Caenorhabditis elegans: one gene and its partner. The protein of the gene in region 1 interacts with the protein of each later gene in a pairwise test. Each region holds a gene or a part of one and is shown on either strand. Other genes may lie near its edges.

Region 1 (10,682 bases):
TATATAAATACGAAACTATTATAAATTCTAGATTTCTTTTTGTTTTTACTATTTTAATATTCAGCAAACATGGTCAAAACGTGAGCCGAATCAACTGATGGATTGTTTCCAAAACTATTCATTTAACCATATTTCGGATCCAGGAGATGCAAATAGAATGGAAGATGTTTTGGTGGTTGATGGATTGCATAAACGAGTTATATCGATTAACGGAGATATGTGAGTACTACATATTCTAGTATTCTAGACACTGAAATACATAACTCTTTCAGGCCTGGAGCACCAGTTGTAGTTCCATACATGTCAGAAGTATGGATTCGTGTCTCTAATCAGATCCTTATGGATTCAATGACAATTCATGTTCATGGTATTGACAAACATGGAATGTGGTACATGGATGGAGTTGCTTTTGTTCAACAATGTCCAATTCAAAGTACAAATAAATTTGAGTATAGATTTATTGCTGATAACAAGGGAACTCATTGGTATCACGGACATATGCAAACTGATAGAGGAGATGGAATTGCTGGAGGTTAGTTCAAGTTAAGTATAGGATTAGAGTACAATAATTTGAGAGAATCAATGATCAGGTCTTTATTTTTTATCAATGTTTACTTTTGAAAGTAATTTTTTTAATAGTTTCGCACCCTATTGTCACATTTTGATTGTTCAGGATTCATTGTTGTTGATCAGAATGATACATCAGTTCCAACATTGGATGATCGGAAGCGAATTGTTCCAAGCCGTGAATACTTCTTTTTGTTGCAGGTAGCCACATGTTTTTCTCCAAACTCCCACAACCATGATTTTCAGGATTGGGCGACAAAAGTTGGAGAAGAAGCTTGGATGCAATTGGAAGATAAAACTATGAAATGGATGTATGGATATGATGACTTTACAAAATGTTGGGAGCCAACTAGAACTTCCGATGGAGGTCAGTGGCTTCAAACTGAAAAGTTCTGAAACTTAATAATTCTTTGGAAATTTAACCTGACTCGTGCATAACTATCCGGAGTTATTTGAAAATTCCAAAAAAAACTTACGATGAAGAAAAGCCAGTCAACGTTTTGGTATATTGCCAAGTTTTCTAAGACACTTTGTTTAATGCCTAAAAGTTGATTCGTTTTTTGTCAACTTCTAAAATTATGATAGGTGCAGACTGAGTTATTGCCACTTTTGTATAAAATATATAATTGAAATCTACACGGTTCAAATACAACCACAAGTTGTGAGATAATAGTCGGATATGTGCATTCTTCTCATGGAAGTTTTACATTTGTGTAATTATATATTTAGGAAATGTCGGAGGAGCTGTACCAATTTCTGCAATTCTTTTGAACGACAAGGGATGGTATGATCATGACATTATCAAATCTCAACCATTCAATCTTCCACTTGAAAGATTCCAAATTAAGCCAAGTAAGTCTATGAGTCTATTTAACTAACAAATAATTTGAAATGTCAGACGAGGATATTCTTTTCCGTATTGTAAACGGAGGAGTTGCTCAAGAGCTTATGCTATATGTTGAAGGGCATCCAATGACTGTAGTTGCAGCTGATGGTGATGAGGTTGTTCCGATGAAGGTAGGAACCCATTCATTTGAAGCATAATCTATTCTCTCATTTCAGGTTGATCGTCTCATCGTTTTCCCAGGAGAAAGATATGACATTTTGATTAAAGGATTGGCAACACCCACCAAAAAAAGCTACCGTATCCAAGTAGAGACAGTTCAAAAATATTTCTTTGATTGGAAAGAGATTCCAATTGTTTATGGATTTGGTTATATTGAATATGAAACTGATGGACTCCCCGAGGATAAGACTACACGTAAGTAGAGAAAAACAGTAATTTAAAAACAACAATTCCTTTCAGCCAACCTGATGCACCCAGAATGTACACAAAACAAGAAATGTACCGTTTTGAACTGTCCATTCCAAGAATGGATGGCTCAACCAAACTTCACATGTATCTCATATGATAAGTTGGAAAATCCAAATCCAGAAAAAATCGAGGCCGAGATTCTTCAAGCAACACAATTTAATGGAGGATTCGAGGTGGGATTTTGTTTATTATAGAAATAGGGTTGGAGTGGCAAAGCAGACGTCTGGTTTTCCAAAATCATTGGAAGAAAAGAATCATAAAAGTTTATTACACTTGAAAAATGTTAAACACCTGTTTTTGATAAGCAGGCGCATTTTCAGGAAGGTAAGTATATAATGAATGCAATGGGGGAAGGCAACCACGAGATGTCTCTTTCCTATCTGTTTCTTAATGCCTACATGCCTGCCTATCTGACTTTTCTAGGCCATCTTTTGTTTTAATAATCACGAGCCCACTTTTTGCAGGAGCATTTTATCAACATGCACCATGACTCTCAAATGGATCAATTCTTATTCCAATTCCCATGGGGTATTCCATATTATCATGATGGTGACATGGAAACTATTTCAACGGTGAGTTAGGGTCGACGGGAGAAAATATCCATTTTATATTATTTACAGTCGTGCAGTCAAACTGCTTGTGCCAACAACTCAATGTCAGATCTCGATACAACATGTCGTTGTTTCTATCATTTGGAGCATAAATTAAATAATATTGTGCAAATAACCCTTTATAATATGGGACTTGGTGGTGCAATGGGAACTGGTTATGCTCATCCATTCCATCTTCATGGACATCATTTTTATGTGATGAAAGTTGGATGGCCATCGTATAATGGATCTGGATTTATTGATCAAATGAATCAAGATATTGATTGTCCTGGACGAGATGTTAGTTGTAATGGAAAGAAATGGAGAAATAAAGATTGGTTAGGTGGAGCATTAGAAGCAATGAATACTAAGAATCCAACGAAAAGAGATACTATTACATTGCCAGTTGGAGGATATATCACTATTCGGTAGGTTTTTGTTGTGTATTGAGCGAAAGACAAGGAGAGAAGTAGTTTATTACAAGAAGTGTAAGAAGTAATGAATTATAAAGAGAGGTCGCTTACGCGATAAGTTCATGATGACCCAAAGGTCACGTCTGTATAAAGTTCAGGTTTACGTTCCGTCCACAACATCTCCCCTCTTATATGACAAAAAGCCAGAAATGCCTGGGCTAGGGGCATCACGACCAGAGGCGGTATATCGACCTCTGCGGCGAGTGGAGGCATGATCAGTGTTTGGGGCTGATCCTCGCACAACTTGTCCCCCTCCCCATCTCATCCTGATCGCCACTGTTGTGTATTGAGCGAAAGACAAGGAGAGAAGTAGTTTATTACAAGAAGTGTAAGAAGTAATGAATTATAAAGAGAGGTCGCTTACGCGATAAGTTCATGATGACCCAAAGGCCACGTCTGTATAAAGTTCAGGTTTACGTTCCGTCCACAACAGTTTTCGAATCGTTGTTTTTTTAAAACATTTTTTAATTCATGGAGCACGTGAGAACCCATTGTTAGGAACACAATCTTTTGAGAACTACAGTAACCAATTTTTTGAAACATTTTTATACCCATTTCCACTTTTTTCTCTCACTCACCCGGCAAACTATCTGTTTGTCTCGACATATTTTTGAGTGTGAAAAACAATGTAAAATCGAGGAAAAGTGTATACTGTAGTTCTTAAAGGCGCACCTAGTTTTGTGCAATCTCGAGTTGAACATTTTTCTTTCGTGATGAAACCATCCACCGTATTTTTTGCGAAACGATCTCAAAATTTTTACTATTAAAGTTTAAGGATAAGAATTAACACTCTCTTATATTTTTAATACTCATTCAAGAAACAAATTAATAATTTCAGATTCCGTGCTGTAAATCCAGGATGGTGGTTTGCTCATTGTCACTTGGAACTTCATTTAATGGGTGGAACTGGATATGCATATAAGGTAAAATACACTTAATATCAGTATCAGTGCAATTTCTAACTGTTCTATTTTAGGTTGGTGATCAAAATCAAATCTACATGCCACCTGACAATTTCCCGCATGATTGTGGTGTCTTCAAAGTTGATAAATTACCAGAATTAAGGCTTCCAACTCAAAAATCTTCGAATATCCCATACACTTTCATTGCTGTGTGCCTAGTTCTTATTATTGATAGAATATTTCACTGATAATTGATAATTTTGATGATTAGAATTTGAACTTTACTCAGCTTGATGTCATATTGATATTAATAAATGAACGTGTGCCTGAAAAAAGTGGAAAGTGAATGAGATTTATTGCACAAGTTGAACAACAAAATTAAAACTCAGATTTTTGGAATGTGTAAGTATATATTTAACATTTAATTAATTTCAAATTGGAATCACTCGATCAAATACATCTTGTAAAGTTTTTCGTGTTCTTCCACTTCGAATTTCGGGCGGAAATTAACTTTCACAATCTGTGAAAATCCCTCGGACAGTGTTGGTTCAACATATTTTCCTTTATGAATTCTTAATACCATTGACGAGATTTCAGCTGCATTATCATCTGTTAACACTCGGAATCGAATATTGTGCTGTGCGTGTTCCATACTACAATTCATCTCGAAACATCGAATGGGCACTCCGAGCTCTTTTGCCACGTCAATATATCGCTTTCGTGATTCTAGATCCGGTGATGTGTTATCAATAACTACAGATTTTCCATCAGCAAGATATGAACGAGTGGCTGCTACACACTTTTGCCATGTTCCGATCGTGTCACGATTCACAATATGAATCAAAAATTTTTGAGTTGAAAAATGCTCCAAAACTTACTTTATAATCATGTTGATGACCGAGCATTTTAGCAAAAGTCGACTTTCCTGAACCGGGAAATCCAACCATTAGAATAATTTCTTTTTCGGATGATTTAAGTTGAGCATCTGAAAATATAATTATATTTATGTTTTCTCATAATTTTATTTCACCATGAGGTTCAAGTTCAGTAATTTCCTCTGAAAATAGATTTTTTGGATCAAAGTTTGGTGGTCCCCAGGGCTCATCAACTTTCGATTTTCCGAAAAATTCTTCTGGAGTTTGAAATTTAACACCGACATTTGCAGCAAAGAAACGATCTGCGTATGAGTGATCTTTTTTAGGACGACTCTATAAAATTAGAATTAAATGAAAGTTGAATCTATTCACACGTACTGTAGTCTTGATTCTTCCAGCAGCATCTCCAACAAAAATGCTTTCTTTTTCATTAATTTCCACTTCATCATTTCTCAATTTCAGCTCATTCCACATACCAACACATGGTTTTCTATAGTGTCCCCCAGCAACTGAAACAAATGCTTGAACAGGTATTCCAAGTTTTCCAACAATTGCTTCAATTTTCTTCCTAAATTCATTTCGATCAACTTTTCCAGCGTGGATGCCTTTTTGATTTGTGAAAATGACAATTTTGAATCCGTCGGAATGCAATTTTTTGAAATCTGATGGAATTGAGTCATATAGAAGTTGCCAATCTTGACAATTTGTTGGAAACACTTTTCCAGACTTTGTTTTGATCAGAGTTCCGTCTGAAAATACGATTTTTTTAAACAAAAATATTTTTTTCATACACTAGAAAGTTTAGAACAACTCATAAATTTAACCTTTTTCAGGTTTTCATCTATTATTGTTGTGGAGATCGACAAAAAATAGTTGTAGGGGTTCGAATCTACAGTAATTTTAGGGATTTCCACAAAAATTTGGCAATTTACCAAAAAAAAAATTGATTAGTATTACATTTTTATTAATTTGTGCAAACTACTTAATTTGAAGAAAATCAAATGGAAATTACATCACAATTTTAGGTTCAAGGGATAAATGTACCGAGCCAGAGGCTCACTGCTTGAATAGTCTCAGTAAGGCCAAGTTTCTTGATACTAATTTCATATTTCGTGAAAATTATCAATTCTGCGCCAAAAATATGTGTTTTCTTTTGATAGAAGACGTGAGTTTTCCCACTCATCAACAACAAGAAAATCAAAAAATATATCCATACACCACTCAGTATTTCTAGTCGTCTGTGTTCTCTAATTGTAGGTCACAGCCTCCCTCCATTAGACAGGCATAGTATGTTTGTCTGTGTCTCTTCATCTTCATACACACTCTGAATGTTTGTCTGTTGTCTCTTGAAGTGTGGACACCCTCTATTAAAACGGCACTCCCTTCTTCTTGACGTTAGAATTCATTGATTTTTTTCTATTTATTTATTTTATCTTTTCTAAAGATGCAAATGTAAATATTACACAGATGCGAAATTTTGTGATTTTCAACGCAAAAATACGATACTCGGTCTTGACACTGCGGAATAAGTTTATATGAAAAAAAGTGCACCTTTAAAAAGTACAGTAACCTCTACGAGTCACTGTTCTGACTTATTCATCTTCGACTTTTTTCCTGAATTTTGCATAAAATTTTAGTATTTTTTGATTTGTCTCACAAAAAACAATTTTTTTTTGGGAAAAATGTGAAAATCGGAAAATCAAACCAATGAGGCAGGGAGATTACTGTACTTTTTAAAGGATATTCGGTCGTGCCAAGACCTAGTATCGCATTTTTGCGTAGGAAATCGCAAAATTTCGAATCTGAGTAATACTATTCTAACCGAAATGTAGAATTCTCAGCTTTAAACTTCAGAAATGACTGAAATCTCTCCTAAAATACTTGAAACTTCATCCGAGCCACCACCAAAAAAGAAGCGTGCCAATTTTACACTCGAATTCAAAAATGAAGTTATTCGATTTGCTGAACAAACAAATAATTGTCAAGCTCAGAAGAAATATGGAGTTGCAAGAGCTTGTATTCAACGATGGAGACATTTGAAGGTATTTCTGAACTACAGTAGTTCTATCAACAAATTTCTGGAATTTCAGCACGAATTAGCATTCGAATCAGAAGGAAAACAAGGAGCAAAGAGGCTCGGTGGAGCAGGAAGACCGCTAAAGAATGTGGAATTAGATGAGAAAGTTGAAGATTGGATTGCTTCGAAAAACGGGAAAATTTCGGGAAAAGATATCAAGGAATATGCGAAGAAAATTAATGGAAATGCAGACTTTAAGGTTTGAAACATTTAAACTCGAATTTCGAATAAAATATTTTCTAGGCAAGTAATGGTTGGCTTCAAAGATTTATGATTCGACACGGATTGATAAAAGCAAGAAGTTCAAGCCCAAAAACGCCATCAACTAGTGATGGCACAACAGACAAAACGCTTGAAGAATCACTTTTTGAACTAATTAACAGTGATGAATGGAAGAATATATCAGAAGGAAATGTTTCAGGATTCCTAGAAGATTTTAATGCAGAAAATGGAGAAACTAGTTTAAAAGTCGAGGGAAACAATAGTACAACCACAGAGAGTGAAGTAAAACAGAAACCAAATGAATCATCGAAATTGCCAGAAATAAACATTTTTCAACAATTGGAGATGCTTATTAAGGATTCTAATGGGAAGGAAGACAGTGTAGAAGAAACCGAAACATCTGTGAACCGTTCTCCGAAATCTTATTAATTTTTTGTTATCGTTCATATTTTTCTAAAACTATAGCATGTTATTTTCCATTGAAACAATTCATATCTGATATTCATAATCAAAATTTGGAATACTCATGGAAAGTTAAATCTCGCCAATAAAATAATGTGACCAATTCTTACCCATATCGAATGCGGCAATTTTCTCTTTTCCTTCACATTCTGAATGGGTGAAAATCATCAAATCGCCGTTGTCCTGGAAAAATCAGACTTTAGTTTTTTTTAATGAAGTTTATTTTTGAAACCTTTGATTCCCAGGATCCAGTCTTTTTCAGTGGTCGTCCAAATAAATCAGTATCTGTAAACCGGAGATGAACTTTTTCAGATAAATTGCAAAATCGAAACCTTTAGATTTTTTCGCTTCGTTTTTTGCTCCATCCATTGCTCTTTTCATAATTCTAAGTCTGAAAACTGCTGAAAAAAGCAACGTCTGCCAATTATTTGTGGAGCAATTAAAAAGAAAATCAATAATCGATATTTTCTGTGTTAAAAACTTTAATTTTATTGGAAAAATGTAGCAAAACCTCAAAAAGAATTTATTTTCAATTAAAACAAACGTAAAAAAAAAATCAACAAAACTTCTAATCTAGATTTAAACTTCGAGAACATCCACACTACTTCTTTCCTCTCAATTGTGCACGCTTTCCTTGACCGATTGGTGGCCGAACAACTTTTCCGCGAATAATTTTCAAATTATCTTGAACATCTCTGAAAACTACGTGATCATCAAAAAATAGTCCATGGAATCGTAGCATTTTGGTCAAATAATGAAACATCGGAAGATTTGGATAGTATTTCGGTGATAATTGTTCTTTGGTTTCATATGGTTCTGCAGACATTACTCGGACAACCTGTAAATGAAAATTTTCAGAAACTTTTCTTTATAAAAATCATCTAAAAACCTTTAAACTTTTAGTGTCAGTTGGCATGACAACCTCTCCCCATACTCGATTTGACAATCGATCCATTCGTTTTCCGAATGGTGTAGGTTGAGAGATTCCGCGGCCGGCGTGCACAATTCGTGATGCAGCCAGACGTGCCGCCATCTTAAAATATTTTTTTTATTGTTGATCCGTTAAAATCGGATGAAACTGTTAAATATAGATATAAATAGGCAAAGGACCCATTTCGGAAGGAGTATTCTCAATCGAAAACGTTTCAAAGTTTCAGTTATTTAGTACACGAATTAAAAAATGTGTGAAATGCAAAATTGAGATTGAGCAAAGTAATAGCATCGGAATCATAGATAAATTGAGGTCAATGTTATGAAATTATATGCGAAATTGTTGAATAAAGAAAATAGAGATTCAAGCAGATTTTTTTCCAAAAAATGAGCTGATTGATTTGGTTCCCTTCGAGGCGGCTTGAAGTTTCTTTGATTGTACTGATTCTTTTGGTTTCTTTGCGACAGGTTGCTTCTTATCTTCAAGCTCATCGTCATCCACAGCTTTTCGTTTCATACTCATATCGATGTTCTCGGAGACAGTAGCATCTTGAATATTCAAATGATCTTTAACAATCAATGCAAGATCAGAAGAAAGATATTCAGACAGGAATGTGAAAACATAACGATCGAATGCTTCCGCTGAAATTTATTTCATTTTGGTAAAATTAAGAAGCAAAACGAGAAACTTACGACATGACAACAAAGACTTGTGGGCATCACTTTCTAGAAGTTTTTTGAGAGAATCAAACTTCCTTCTCATCCAATCCAACATTTTTTGATCGTTCAAACGATATAGTTTGACATCGAGAACATCTGGAAATCTTTTATTTTTCCATCTCCACGAACTGATATTTCCAAACCTTTGACATCTGAAACAGCTTCCAATGCTTTCAGAATTCTTTCATTTTCAGCCAATTCTTTGATCCCGTCAACTTGATCATCTACCAATATTTCGCCAATTTCCACAAATTTTCCTGCGGTCTTTTGTAGATATGGGAGACAAATGAAGACGAGATTGTATGGAGTGAATATGTGAATTGTTCCGTTTTCGATTACACTCTCACCGTAGAAGAATGATCGATGACCGTCGTTGACAGCGAAAATCTGCATAAATTTTGTAAGTTTATTCTCATTTAAAAGTTTATTCAGGTTTTTTGTGAAAGCTTGACCAATATTTTTACCTCATCAAAGCACGTTTCGGAGATTCTGAACAGCGCTAGTCCTTCCTTCGGGTGCCGCAGTTTGATGATTCGGCTATTTGGCAAATTGCCCTCTGAAAACAAAAACATTCATTTTTGAAATTAAATAAAGGAAATCACCTTTGGAAATGACAACTTTTCTCGAATAACTCTCATCGGATTCTGGTAATTTTGCAGGTTTAGTTTCTTCTAAAATCTCTTCAACAGCCTCTTCCTCGACGTCTTCTTTTTTTGTTTTTCTAGTTTTTGGTGGCATTCTTGTTCTGAAACTGATTTATTACAATTTGTAATTGATCTAAACTTATGGAAAATAGTTCGAAATTCGTCAAAAAACGAGAACAATGAGATAGAAAATAAACAGGCATATGTTTTTCAGTCATTTTTAAATGTGAATATTTACACCGATGAGCCAAGGGAAAAAACGAGTTTAATTCAGGAAAATTCAAAAGGGAAAAAAGAAATAAATAAATTATTCTTTAACTAAATTGTTTCTAATTAGAATCACAGAATCTGCTAGACAAAAAATGAACTTGGGAAACATTCTGATGAAAGGGAAATCGAGAAATCATATTGATATTATTAAAAAACGTTTTAGTCAGAATGAATTGTGGGAACTGGGAACAGGCATTTCAAAAACTACAGAAAATAATTGCATCCATTTCTTCACATTTTTCCAGCTCTTGCCATCTGCTGCATCATATTTTGAAGGCCTCCCATACCACCCATCTGCTGCAACACACGTGGATCCATCATTTTTGCCATTTGTTGATTCAATTGAGCCATTTTCGCTGGATTCATATTTTTTGGGTTTATATCACCGTTTTTGCCCTGCAAAATGAATTCATTAGAAATAATTATTGAAATTACAAAATTTCAATTTGTCGAATAGGAACAAAACTTTACATTGAAGAGTCCTTTAATTGATCCAATCTTCTTAACAACATCAGAGAATTTCTTGTACTGAGCGAGAAGATCTCGAACTTCTTGTTGATGAGATCCCGATCCTCTGGCAACTCTGGCAACTCTATTTGGTTCTTTTGTAAAGAGCTCAGATGCTTTTGGATGAT
Region 2 (10,285 bases), on another chromosome or scaffold:
ACTACAAAAATCGAAGATTGTCCTCGGGAGCGCGACGAATCAACGTGTTCCGGATAACTGAAATGTTAAATGTTTGTATTAATGTGGAGAACTTTCGTTATTGAGATTTATAAAGAGACTATTGATAAGCACTAGGATTAAAATAGGAAGTTTAATTTAATTTATTACGATAGTAAGATATTTGCCGAATAAGTCGACATACTGATGATTTTTAGGATGTTTCAGGCTGAATTATTTAGCGATTCTTACTTTTCAATTGTTTTTTAAATAATATTTTCTATAAGAAGTGCTTTCTTTCCAAAAAATCGTCGTGTCTCCGCGATTTTCCTCGTTTTCCGTCGAATTTGTGCTGAAAATGGAATTTTTCATGGAATTTTGTGCATTTCATCAATAGAAAGGCATAATTTAAGAGAAATAACAAAAATTTCAATATAAAACAGCGAAAAAATGAGAAAAATCGACGAAAATCGGTATAAAATAAAATAAAAATAGAAGGAAAATATTCACCTCGTAAACCCACACCTGCGGCACGGTTTCGTGGGCGGGGCGTCTCTGGCGGGAAAATTCAGCGTTTGAAAACTCACATATAGGCATCCAATTAATTTTCGGATTTTAAAAATTAATATAAAATCAGGGAAATTTTTTTGAATTTTTTCACATCGATATTCGGCATCAGGGGCAAAATTAGAGTCAGAAACATATATTTCCCCACAAACTCTACTCCCCCTTTAAGAATTTGATTAATTTTTCCAATTTTTTTTTGACAAAAAACTGTAATTTTTCGGAATTTTTTAAAAATCATTTTTTTTTGTGCATTTTTTTGAAAATTTTCCGGAAAAACCACAATTCTTTGAAAATTAGAAAAAAAAACAAGTTTTCTTTTTGAATTTAAAATAAAATCTGCAATTTTATTTCGAAAAATGTATTTTTTAATTTCTTTAAAGATAAAAAAAAACAATATTCCCAATTTTTTTTTACATTAAAAAATTTTTAATGGAATTTTTTTTCACTTTTTACAAAAATTTCAAAAAATTCTCAATTTCAGGTGAATTCCACAGACGAATGGTATTTGAAAGAAGTTGAACATCGAGAAGAAGGTGGCACTGCTGATGCAGTTGGAGCTGTCCGATTGGCAATGGCTGTGAAAATGAAACGATCAATTGGAGAGGATACCATTAAAAATCTCGAATCCTCAATTTCACATCTCGTCCTTCAGAAGATCAGAACCATTGAGAATCTTGTACTTCTCGGTCCATCGGTCGTAGATCATCGTCTCCCAGTATTCTCATTCCTAATTCGTGATCCTCAAAGTCAACTGTTCTTCCATCATAATTATATTTCTGTTCTGTTAAATGATCTTTTTGGAATTCAAACTCGTGCTGGATGTATGTGTGCTGGTCCGTATTCTCAGAAGCTTCTCGGAATCGATGAAGAGCTGTCACAGAGATTTGTGAGCGCAATTCAAGAATCACCAGATCTCGATAGAACACACCTCCGGCGGCAAGCTGAATACTCGCAACAGGAATTCCTGAGACCTGGATTCACGAGAATCTCGTTTCCTTATTTTTTCAAGATGGCGGAAGTCGATGAGATTTTGGAGGCTATTCGATTTATTGCAAAACATGCGGCCGACTTTTTGCACTTGGTAGGAGCCTTGTGTCGATTTACGCAAATTGTGTACTCCACGAGGAGAAGTATTTTTTAAAGCCACGTGGTGCTAGGCTGTCCCATCACGGTTTGATCTACAAAAAATGCGGGAATTTTTTGTCCAAAAAATGTGATGTCAGCCATGCGAACTCTGCGTCTCTTCTCCCGCATTTTTTGTAGATCTACGTAGATCAAGCCAAAATGAGATACTCTGGCACCACGTGAAACGAGAAAAATTACCGATTTTTTCCGAAAATTTTTTTTTTCAAAATTCAAAAAACAACCAATTTTTCCGGAAATTATTTTTAAAAAATACACTTTTTTTTTCAGAAAAATTCAAAAATTGAAGATTTTTCTGAAAATTCTCAAAAAAAAAAATTGAGACAGTAGAATTTCTGAATTTTCACTGAAATTTCTGGAATTCTCGGAAATTTGGTTGAATTTCTTCGAAAATGCTCAAATTTTCATGAAAATTAAACATTTCCGTTCATTTTTCCATTTATTCCAATAAATTCTATCAATTTTCAGACAATTATAGAGAAGTTATAGTAAAATTTGTACAAAACCTTCAAAAATTCCGAAAATTTGGAGAATTTTAGAACAAAGCAATTTTTGGCGAATTTTCAAAATTTTTTCGTACATAGAAAAAAATTTAAAATTCTCAATTTTTTGAGAATTTTCCCAAAAAAATCCGCAATTTTTTGGGAATTTTTGGAAAAATCGACAATTTCCATAAATTCAATTTTTCGAATTTTCTCAAAAAAAATTCTTTACATTTTTGAGAATGAAAATTTTGTGATAGTAGATCATAATCTCTCCAATTTCAGTACCAAGTAAACTGTGAGACCGGTGAATGGCATCATCAAAATCAACGAGTATTTCATGGAAGACGATGGCTCGGACATGTTCAATTCACCCCAACCGGCCTGAAAACTAAGCCTTTGGCTGTTCCAGAAGTGCCTGATATGAAGAAATGCCTGGAAGCGGCAAAAGTGTTGGCTCAAGAGTCGTCGGATGCTCTGAATATCTCGAAAATTCCAGATGGAAGACTGGCGATTAATTCGGAATATCACGAACTTCGGTGGTTTGTTCTTCCGATTGAGGTGGCTGAAGCTCGAGCTGGACGGGCGGTTTCATTTCCGATGTGTGTGATTAAACCGAGAAAGTATACAGAAGAAGCTTCACATCAAGAAATTCCATCCGAGCAGCATCAAGAAGCTCCGCAAGAAGAGTGTGAAGTGATTTGTGACGATGTGATTTGTTATCTGAAATCAGATAAGCTGAAAGCTTCAGAAGACGTGGGCGATGCTGCTGAAGCTGAGGAGGTGAAGCAGATGGAAGACTGGAATAAGCGGGTCATCGTGAGACGTGTGGAGAATTTGAGTAAAGAAGACGAACGGCTTCAAGAATGGCATATTCCGTCGTTGGAAATGTACAAGAAAGTTACAGACATTATTCATCAGCTCAAGATGATTAGGGTTAGTCGAATTTGCCAAAAATAAAAATTTCCAATTTGCCGGAAAAGTGGCAATTTGCCGGAATTGAAAATATACGTCAAATCGTCCAACCGGCAACTTGCCGATTTTGCCGGAATTGGAATTTTTTAGCAAATCAGCAAGTTGCCGGAATCAAAAATTTCCGACAATTTGGCCACCGGCAGTTTCCGGTAATTTACCGAATTTGTTTTTGCCGAAAGCAATTTTTATTGAAAATTTCCGGCAAATCGCCCAACCGGCAATTCGCCGAAGTTGCCGGAATTTAAAATTTCCGGCAAATTGTTCAACCTTTGTCAATTTTGCCGAAAGTTAAAATTTGCGGCAATTTGCCGAATTTGTCAGAAAAGTGGCAATTACCGGAATGGAAAATTACCGGCAAATCGTCTAACCTGCAACTTGCCGATTTTGCCGGAAAAGCGGCCATGCCAAAAATAAAAATTTCCGGCAAATTGGCAACTTGCCAGAGTTGAAAATTTCAAGCTAACCGTTCTACTGGCAATCTGCCGAATTTGCCGGAATTGAAAATTTCCGGCAAATCGGGTAACCTGCAATTTGCCGATTTTGCCGGAAAAGCGAAAATTGAAAAATTGCCGGCAAATGGGAATTTCGCCGGAATTTAAAATTTCCGGCAATTTACCGAATTTGCCGGAAAAGCGGCAAATTGCCGAAAGTAAAAATTGCCGGCAAATCGGCAACTTGCCAGAGTTGAAAATTTCAAGCTAATCGTTCAACTGACAATTTGCCGATTTTGCCGGAATTGAAATTTTCCGGCAAATCGGCAAATTGTCGGAGTTGAATATTTCCGGCGAATCGTCCAACCTGCAATTTGACGAATTTGCCGGAATTGAAAATTTTCGGCAATTTTCCGAATTTGCCATGAAAGCGGCAGTTGTCGAATGTTATAATTTCCGGCAGATCGCCGAATTTGCTGGAATTGAATATTTCCGGAAAATCGTCTAACCGGCAATTTGCCCAATTTGCCGGAAAAGTGGCATTTGCCGAAAGTGAAGGTAAATCGGCTAATTGCCGGAATTGGAAATTTTTAGCAAATAGGCAAATTCCCAGAATTGAAATTTTCCGGCAAATCGGCCAACTGGCAATTTGCCGAATTTGCCGAACTAAAGTTTCGAATAATTTCCAGGACGGCGACAAAGTTCTTGTGTGTCTCTCCGGCGGCAAGGATTCTCTATCGCTTCTTCACATTTTACGGCACTATCAACAACGCTGTAATAAGGCTAGAAGGTATGAAATATCTGGGTCTCGCCACGACTTGTGTCGATTTACGAGCAGCGCAGAAATTTTTTTTTTTGAATGAAATCGATGTCAAAACGCGCTCCACGGACAATTGACAACGCTCCGCCCCCAACAGCTGGGTCTCGTTAGGTATTTGGCGGCAATAGTGTATATTCAAATTTTTTCAAGAATTTTTGCCTTTTTCGTTATGATTTTTACATGAAATTATCAATTTCGGCTCAAAAATCTTCAAAAACAATGTAGAACCTAACGAGACCCTTGGCTCGGGGGCGGAGCCTTATTTCAGCGCACCCGTAAATCGACACGAGTTACTGTAGCTCGTGGCGAGACCCATGTGCTCAGAATATGGCGAAAATTGTCATTTTTCGTCGGAAATTTTTGAAAAAAAATTCATATTTCCAGCACCTCCTTCGAACTCGGTGCAATCACCGTTGATCCAGGATCTGCAGAATACAATCCACGCCCATTAATCGAGTATTGTCGACGGCTCAATATTGATTATTTCTACGAAGAGCAGGATATTATTGGAGCCGCCCGAAAAACGCCCGGACTCCGATCGATTTGCGCGTTTTGTAGTCGAATGAAGCGTGGCCGACTCGCCGCCGCCGCACAATTACACGGATGGAATGTTCTGGCGATGGGACAACATTTGGATGATCTTGCTGAAAGCTTCTTCATTGCCGCTTTTCAGAATGGAAATTTGAGCACGATGAAGGCTCAGTATACGACGAAGTTAGTACTGAAAATTAGAAAAATCGATTTTTGTTCGAGTTTTTTGAGACGAAAATCCTGAAATTAATCTAAATTTCGTTGTTTTTCAGGTAGAAACACCAAAAATCAGTCGATGTTTAAGATTTTCCTTTCAAAAATTCACCGAAAATGAAAAAAGATTGATTTGCCACCAAATACCTAACGAGACCCGACTCTTGGGGGCGGATTTTTATGGAAAATTTACGATAAAATCGAAATATTTTCCAAATGTTTTGAACTCAAAATCCTGAGAATGCGTATTGCACAACACATTTGACGCGCAAAATATCTCGCAGCGAAAACTACAGTAATGACTACTGTAGGTGTCGATTTACGGGGCTTGGCGGCAGCTCGTAAATCCACACTTACAGTAGTGATTACTGTAGTTTTCGCTGCGAGATATTTTACGCGTCAAATGTGTTGTGCAGAATATCTCGCAGCGAAAACTACAGTAATGACTACCGTGTTCAAAAAAACAAAAAATTGGGAAAATAACTTGATCTTTCCTGGAAAACACTGAAAAATCGTATATTTTCCAGAAAAATACGCTCCGCCCCCAACAGGCGGGTCTCGTTAGGTATTTGTAGACAAAACTTTAAATTCAAATGTTTTTGTCACGTTTTTCATTAGTTTAATAAATTTTTATGCCGAAATTTATAAAATAACATAAGTTCGACGAAAAAATCAATAAAATCGATGGAAAATTGAAAATTTTCCTAACGAGACCCAACTGTTGGGGGCGGAGCGTTACCAATTGTCCGTGGAGCGCGTTTTCACGTCGATTTCAAAAGGAATTTCAATTTTTTTCCAGAGACGGAGCTCTTCGAGTCATTCGACCGCTGGTGATGGTTCGCGAGAAGGCTCTACGAAATTTCGCCGAGGATAAAAGTATTTTCAGCGATTTTTTTTTTGAATTTATCTCCAAATAAATAATTTTCCAGAACTCCCAGTTGTCGCGGAAAACTGCCCGGCATGCTTCAACCAGGCCACCGAACGTCACCGTGTCAAGCAGCTCCTGGCTCAGCAGGAGCTCATCTTCCCCGACTTGTTTAATTCACTGAGATCTGCTCTGAAACCACTGCTTTTGGTGGGTGATTTATGGGTTTTCAAGCTCTAGTAACGCGGGATGTCCCTTGAAATGGCAGAGTTTTGGGAAGCTCGGCCGCGACGCAGCAGCGCGCGGAGCGGCTCAGGCAAAAACGTTGATTCTGTTTTTTTTTCTACCAGAAAATGATAAAATCAATGTGTTCGTCTGAGCCGCTCCGCATGCAGCTGCGTCGCGGCCGAGCTTCCCAAGCTGAAAACTCTTCCATTTAAATATAAGAGGGACTCTGAGCCCCCTTGAGCTCTTTTTTTCAAATCTAATAAATGTTTTCCAGGTTGATTCGGCGCACACCAGCGTGATGCGGAGCCAGGCGGTGCATAATATTGTGAAGGAAATGTCATAGGGAATTTTTCCTATAAAAATTAAAATTTTCCTATTAAAAAAAATATTTAAATATTTTTCTTGTTGTTAAATGTTAATCGTAATTCGTCCTTGAGCGTTTGAATGTTTTTTTGATGTTTTGGTTTGTTGAATAAAAACTTTCAAAAATAAAACCGACAACTGACACATTGATGAAAAAGTGAGTAAAAAGTTAGTCAGCTGTTCCATCGGAAGCCGGCTCAAAGCTCTCAAGCTCCAAAGCTCCAAAGCTCCGAGCCAGTCTGCCGCCGGAATGCGGATCGCCTTGATTTTCCTCGTTCTCCTCGTTTCCTTCGCCTCGTCATGCAAGAATTTCGATAAATATATGAATATGTTCTGCCGTTACGGCTTGGAGCAATCCCCATGCACTGTTGAGGATTGTAAGTTTTTTTATTTATTGATTTTTTGTGTTTTGTTTCAAAAGATTCATAATTAATTTCAGATAGCACCTACAAATCCGCGTGCTGTGCCATGAAGAACAACTGCTCGTACAAGGAATTCCCGAAGGATGATGTCTGCTGCTTCACTGTTGAGTGCCTCAAGAGATGCTTCCCGGAGAAGCTGCTCAAGAACGATAAAGTCTATTAAATAATTGGATTTTGATGTTTTAATTTTTTTCCAATAAAGCCAATTTTTTAGACTAAATTTTCGGCGATTTTCTTCTTTTTTGAGATAATTTTTCAAATTTCGCGCGGGAAAAGTGATTTTGCGCCACTTTTTGAGCCTCTGCGGCCATAATCGAAGACTTTCAAAAAAACGAGTTTCTCCACTTTTTGACTCGAAATAAAGCGTTTTCCGAAACATTTTGAACGTTTTATTAAATATGATTTTTGGTCATTTTGACAGTGTTTGAATTGTTTTTCCGTTGTTAAAGGAAAAATGACACGATTTCCCATAAAAACCCTTTAAAAACAAGCAAATTTGAGTTTTTTTGAACGTTTTCTCCATAAATTTCGATAAAAAACCGAAAATTCCGTCTGAAAAGTTGTAAAATGTGTTCCAGAAAAAAACAAAAAATTGTTTTTTCAGAAATCTGTGCAATATTGCGTGAGGGTGTTTGCACAAGTGTCGTCAAATCGGGTGTTTTCTATTTTCGTTTTGTTTATTGAAAAATTTTCGCTCACTGAAAACGGGTTTTCTCTGCGAAACCTGAATTTTTCCTCGTTTGTTCAATTAAAAATTGATTATTTAAATTTCAGAGCATGTCAGAGCTATCAGATGAAGAAATTTCCTTGCAAGCGCTTTACGATCCGAGCAAAAAGGTGATCGGCGATATTGAAGATGGGATTTTTTCCACCCCGGAGCTCCAACCTCGCATCAAAACGGGAATTGATAATCTCCAGTTGGTCACGAAGCTTGTGAATCAGATGAGATTGTTTTCGTCGAATGAGCAGGTTTTTTATCGAAAAAAAAAAAGATTATTTCTGAAATTAAATGATTTTTTTTCAGATTGAAGACGTTCCAACAAACTCGCTGCCCTATCTCCTTGTCCCATGTTTTTTGGGAATTCTCCACCAAAATTTGATGACTGAGCCCGGCCTGAAGCTCGACGAACTGAGAAAATCCAAAATTTATATGCGAAATTTTCTGGATCGCCTCCGAGATTTGTGCCTGATCACCACCAGATTACCATGGGAAGATGAGGATACAGAAGAGCAAAATTTAAAGGAGAAGCCGAAGCTTGCAGTTGAAGAGATCAGAAGATTGAAGTTGGAGCGTCACAAGAAGAAGCAAGAGCTCAAAATGGCGGAGCTCAGGATCCAAAAGCAGCTGGAAGCCGTTTCAATTGATGAGCAGAATCTCAGAGAGCTCTATATTACTCAGTTATTGTTCTGGAGTGAAAGATGTTACGAGGAGTTGCAGGCGATTGATGGTGTGTAGAATATCGCCTAGTTTCCATGGAAAAATTATTTTTAAAAATCACGAAAAATCGGAATTAATGTGATTTTCTGGCAGAAAAACGCAATGTTATCATATTTTTTTTCTGAGAACTCGAAGAAAACTGGAATTTTTGCTTGAAAAATCGTTTTGTTGCTCTAAAAATGCTCAAAATGGCTTCGAAATGCCGAATTTCATGGAAAATAAGGAGAAAAATGGCTAAATTTAGCTAAACTTCCGGATTTCGCACATTTTTTCATTAATTTAACGATGTTTCCAGACGAATGGTAACCAAAACACAGAAAAACAGCAAATATGTTCAAATTATGATCTTTTATTCGAGAAAAAAACTATTTTTCTGTGCGACGCTGCTTTTTAAAGATTTTTTGTAATTTTTTTAAACTATTATTTTAAAAAATCGAAAAATTCAATTTTCAGGGTCATTTTGAGGCTCTAAGAGCTATAAAATTCGTTTTTACCCACAGACAATTAAAAAAAAAGCAAAAAAAGGAAAAATAATAATTAACTCATTTTTTAAATTTTTGCAAAACTCCTTTAAAATTAGAAAGTTGTAAAAAAAATTTCGAATTTTCAATTATTCAAAAATTGGAAAAAAATTAGACAATTAACAGGAAAATTCATTTCTTTTATCAAATCTGGTTTATTTTGATTTGAAAAATCAGAAAATATATAGTTTTCTTCTACAAACAAAAAAATGATCAAATCACGACCAAATCGGAGATTTCCGCTAAATTTTGGACTTTTTTCTTGTTTGTAGAAAAAAAAGATATATTTTCTAAAGTTTTTCATCAAAATAAATCTAAATTTTTTTTTCGATTTTTGAATTAAAAAAATTAATTATTCAAAAATCGAAAAAAAAATTTATTTTGATGAAAAACTTCAGAAAATATATCATTTTTTTTCTACAAACAAGAAAAAAGTCCAAAATTTAGCTAAAATCTCCGATTTGGTCGTATTTTGGTCATTTTTTTGTTTGTAGAAGAAAACTATATATTTTCTGATTTTTCAAATCAAAATAAACCACATTTGATAAAAGAAATGAATTTTCCTGTTAATTGTCTAATTTTTTTCCAATTTTTGAATAATTGAAAATTCGAAATTTTTTTAAACAAAAAAATAAAAAAAATTTAAATAATAAGTTAATTATTATTTTTATTTTTTGCAAATTTTTTAATTTTCTGTCAGTAAAAAAGTTTTTTAATAGTTTTTAGAGCCTCAAAATGACCCTGAAAAATTGAATTTTTCGAGTTTTGAATAATTTTCAGTTCTTCATGGCCAAGCCTTTTAAGCCTTTTAGAGCAGAAAGCGACGTTTTTAAAAACGGAAAACAATTTTCAGACGAGCTTCCACTGCTGAAAATGATGGCTGAACGAGCATCTCACCCACATCGTCATCCAGCTCCACCACCAGCAACAAAGACAGTTCCAACACTTAAACCCTTCATTATTACCAGAGATGCTCAACAGAAGCAGGTCTTTGGGCTCGGATATCCAGGAATTCCAGCGATGAGTGTCGATGAATGGTATCATCAGAAATTCGGTCATAATCCACAAAATGCTCCACAATCGTCGGCTCCAGCCGGGGCAGAAGCTCAAGAATCCGAAGAAGAGGTTGATGATGACGAGGCGAGAGCGAAGGCGATGCGTTGGGATGAATATAAGGATGATCATCGACGTGGATGGGGAAATATGCACAATAAAGGATAAATTATATTGTAGATCTCTACTTTTACGCGGGATTCCTAGCTCCCGCATGTGTCGATTTACGCGGCTTG

Evidence for each region.
Region 2: the proteins of F21D5.4 (region 1) and Y71H2B.4 interact in a two-hybrid assay, tested with the Caenorhabditis elegans proteins (one large-scale study listed by BioGRID).

Annotation. Positions count from the first base shown.
Region 1 is NC_003282.8:8,731,511-8,742,192, forward strand, and holds F21D5.4 (HTH CENPB-type domain-containing protein), read left to right. Parts: upstream 1-6,576; 5' UTR 6,577-6,578; coding exon 6,579-6,764; intron 6,765-6,812; coding exon 6,813-6,998; intron 6,999-7,042; coding exon 7,043-7,450; 3' UTR 7,451-7,591; downstream 7,592-10,682. Other genes in the region: F21D5.3 (Multicopper oxidase), read left to right, coding at 65-219, 273-532, 674-768, 814-934, 1,297-1,419, 1,466-1,584, 1,630-1,828, 1,874-2,055 and 4 more; F21D5.5 (uncharacterized protein), read right to left, coding at 4,290-4,682, 4,726-4,832, 4,878-5,055, 5,101-5,471, 7,594-7,666, 7,716-7,768, 7,816-7,864; mrps-33 (Small ribosomal subunit protein mS33), read right to left, coding at 8,085-8,321, 8,373-8,516; F21D5.6 (Ribonuclease H2 subunit B wHTH domain-containing protein), read right to left, coding at 8,778-9,055, 9,107-9,229, 9,277-9,520, 9,598-9,689, 9,736-9,871; F21D5.7 (Signal recognition particle 54 kDa protein), read right to left, coding at 10,279-10,443, 10,519-10,682.
Region 2 is NC_003281.10:2,612,125-2,622,409, forward strand, and holds Y71H2B.4 (Lipoprotein), read left to right. Parts: upstream 1-6,838; 5' UTR 6,839-6,865; coding exon 6,866-6,992; intron 6,993-7,054; coding exon 7,055-7,200; 3' UTR 7,201-7,251; downstream 7,252-10,285. Other genes in the region: Y71H2B.5 (Aminotran_5 domain-containing protein), read left to right, coding at 1,046-1,645, 2,475-3,125, 4,285-4,385, 4,800-5,129, 5,959-6,035, 6,089-6,234, 6,527-6,595; Serine/threonine-protein phosphatase 4 regulatory subunit ppfr-4, read left to right, coding at 7,815-8,006, 8,062-8,485, 9,850-10,217.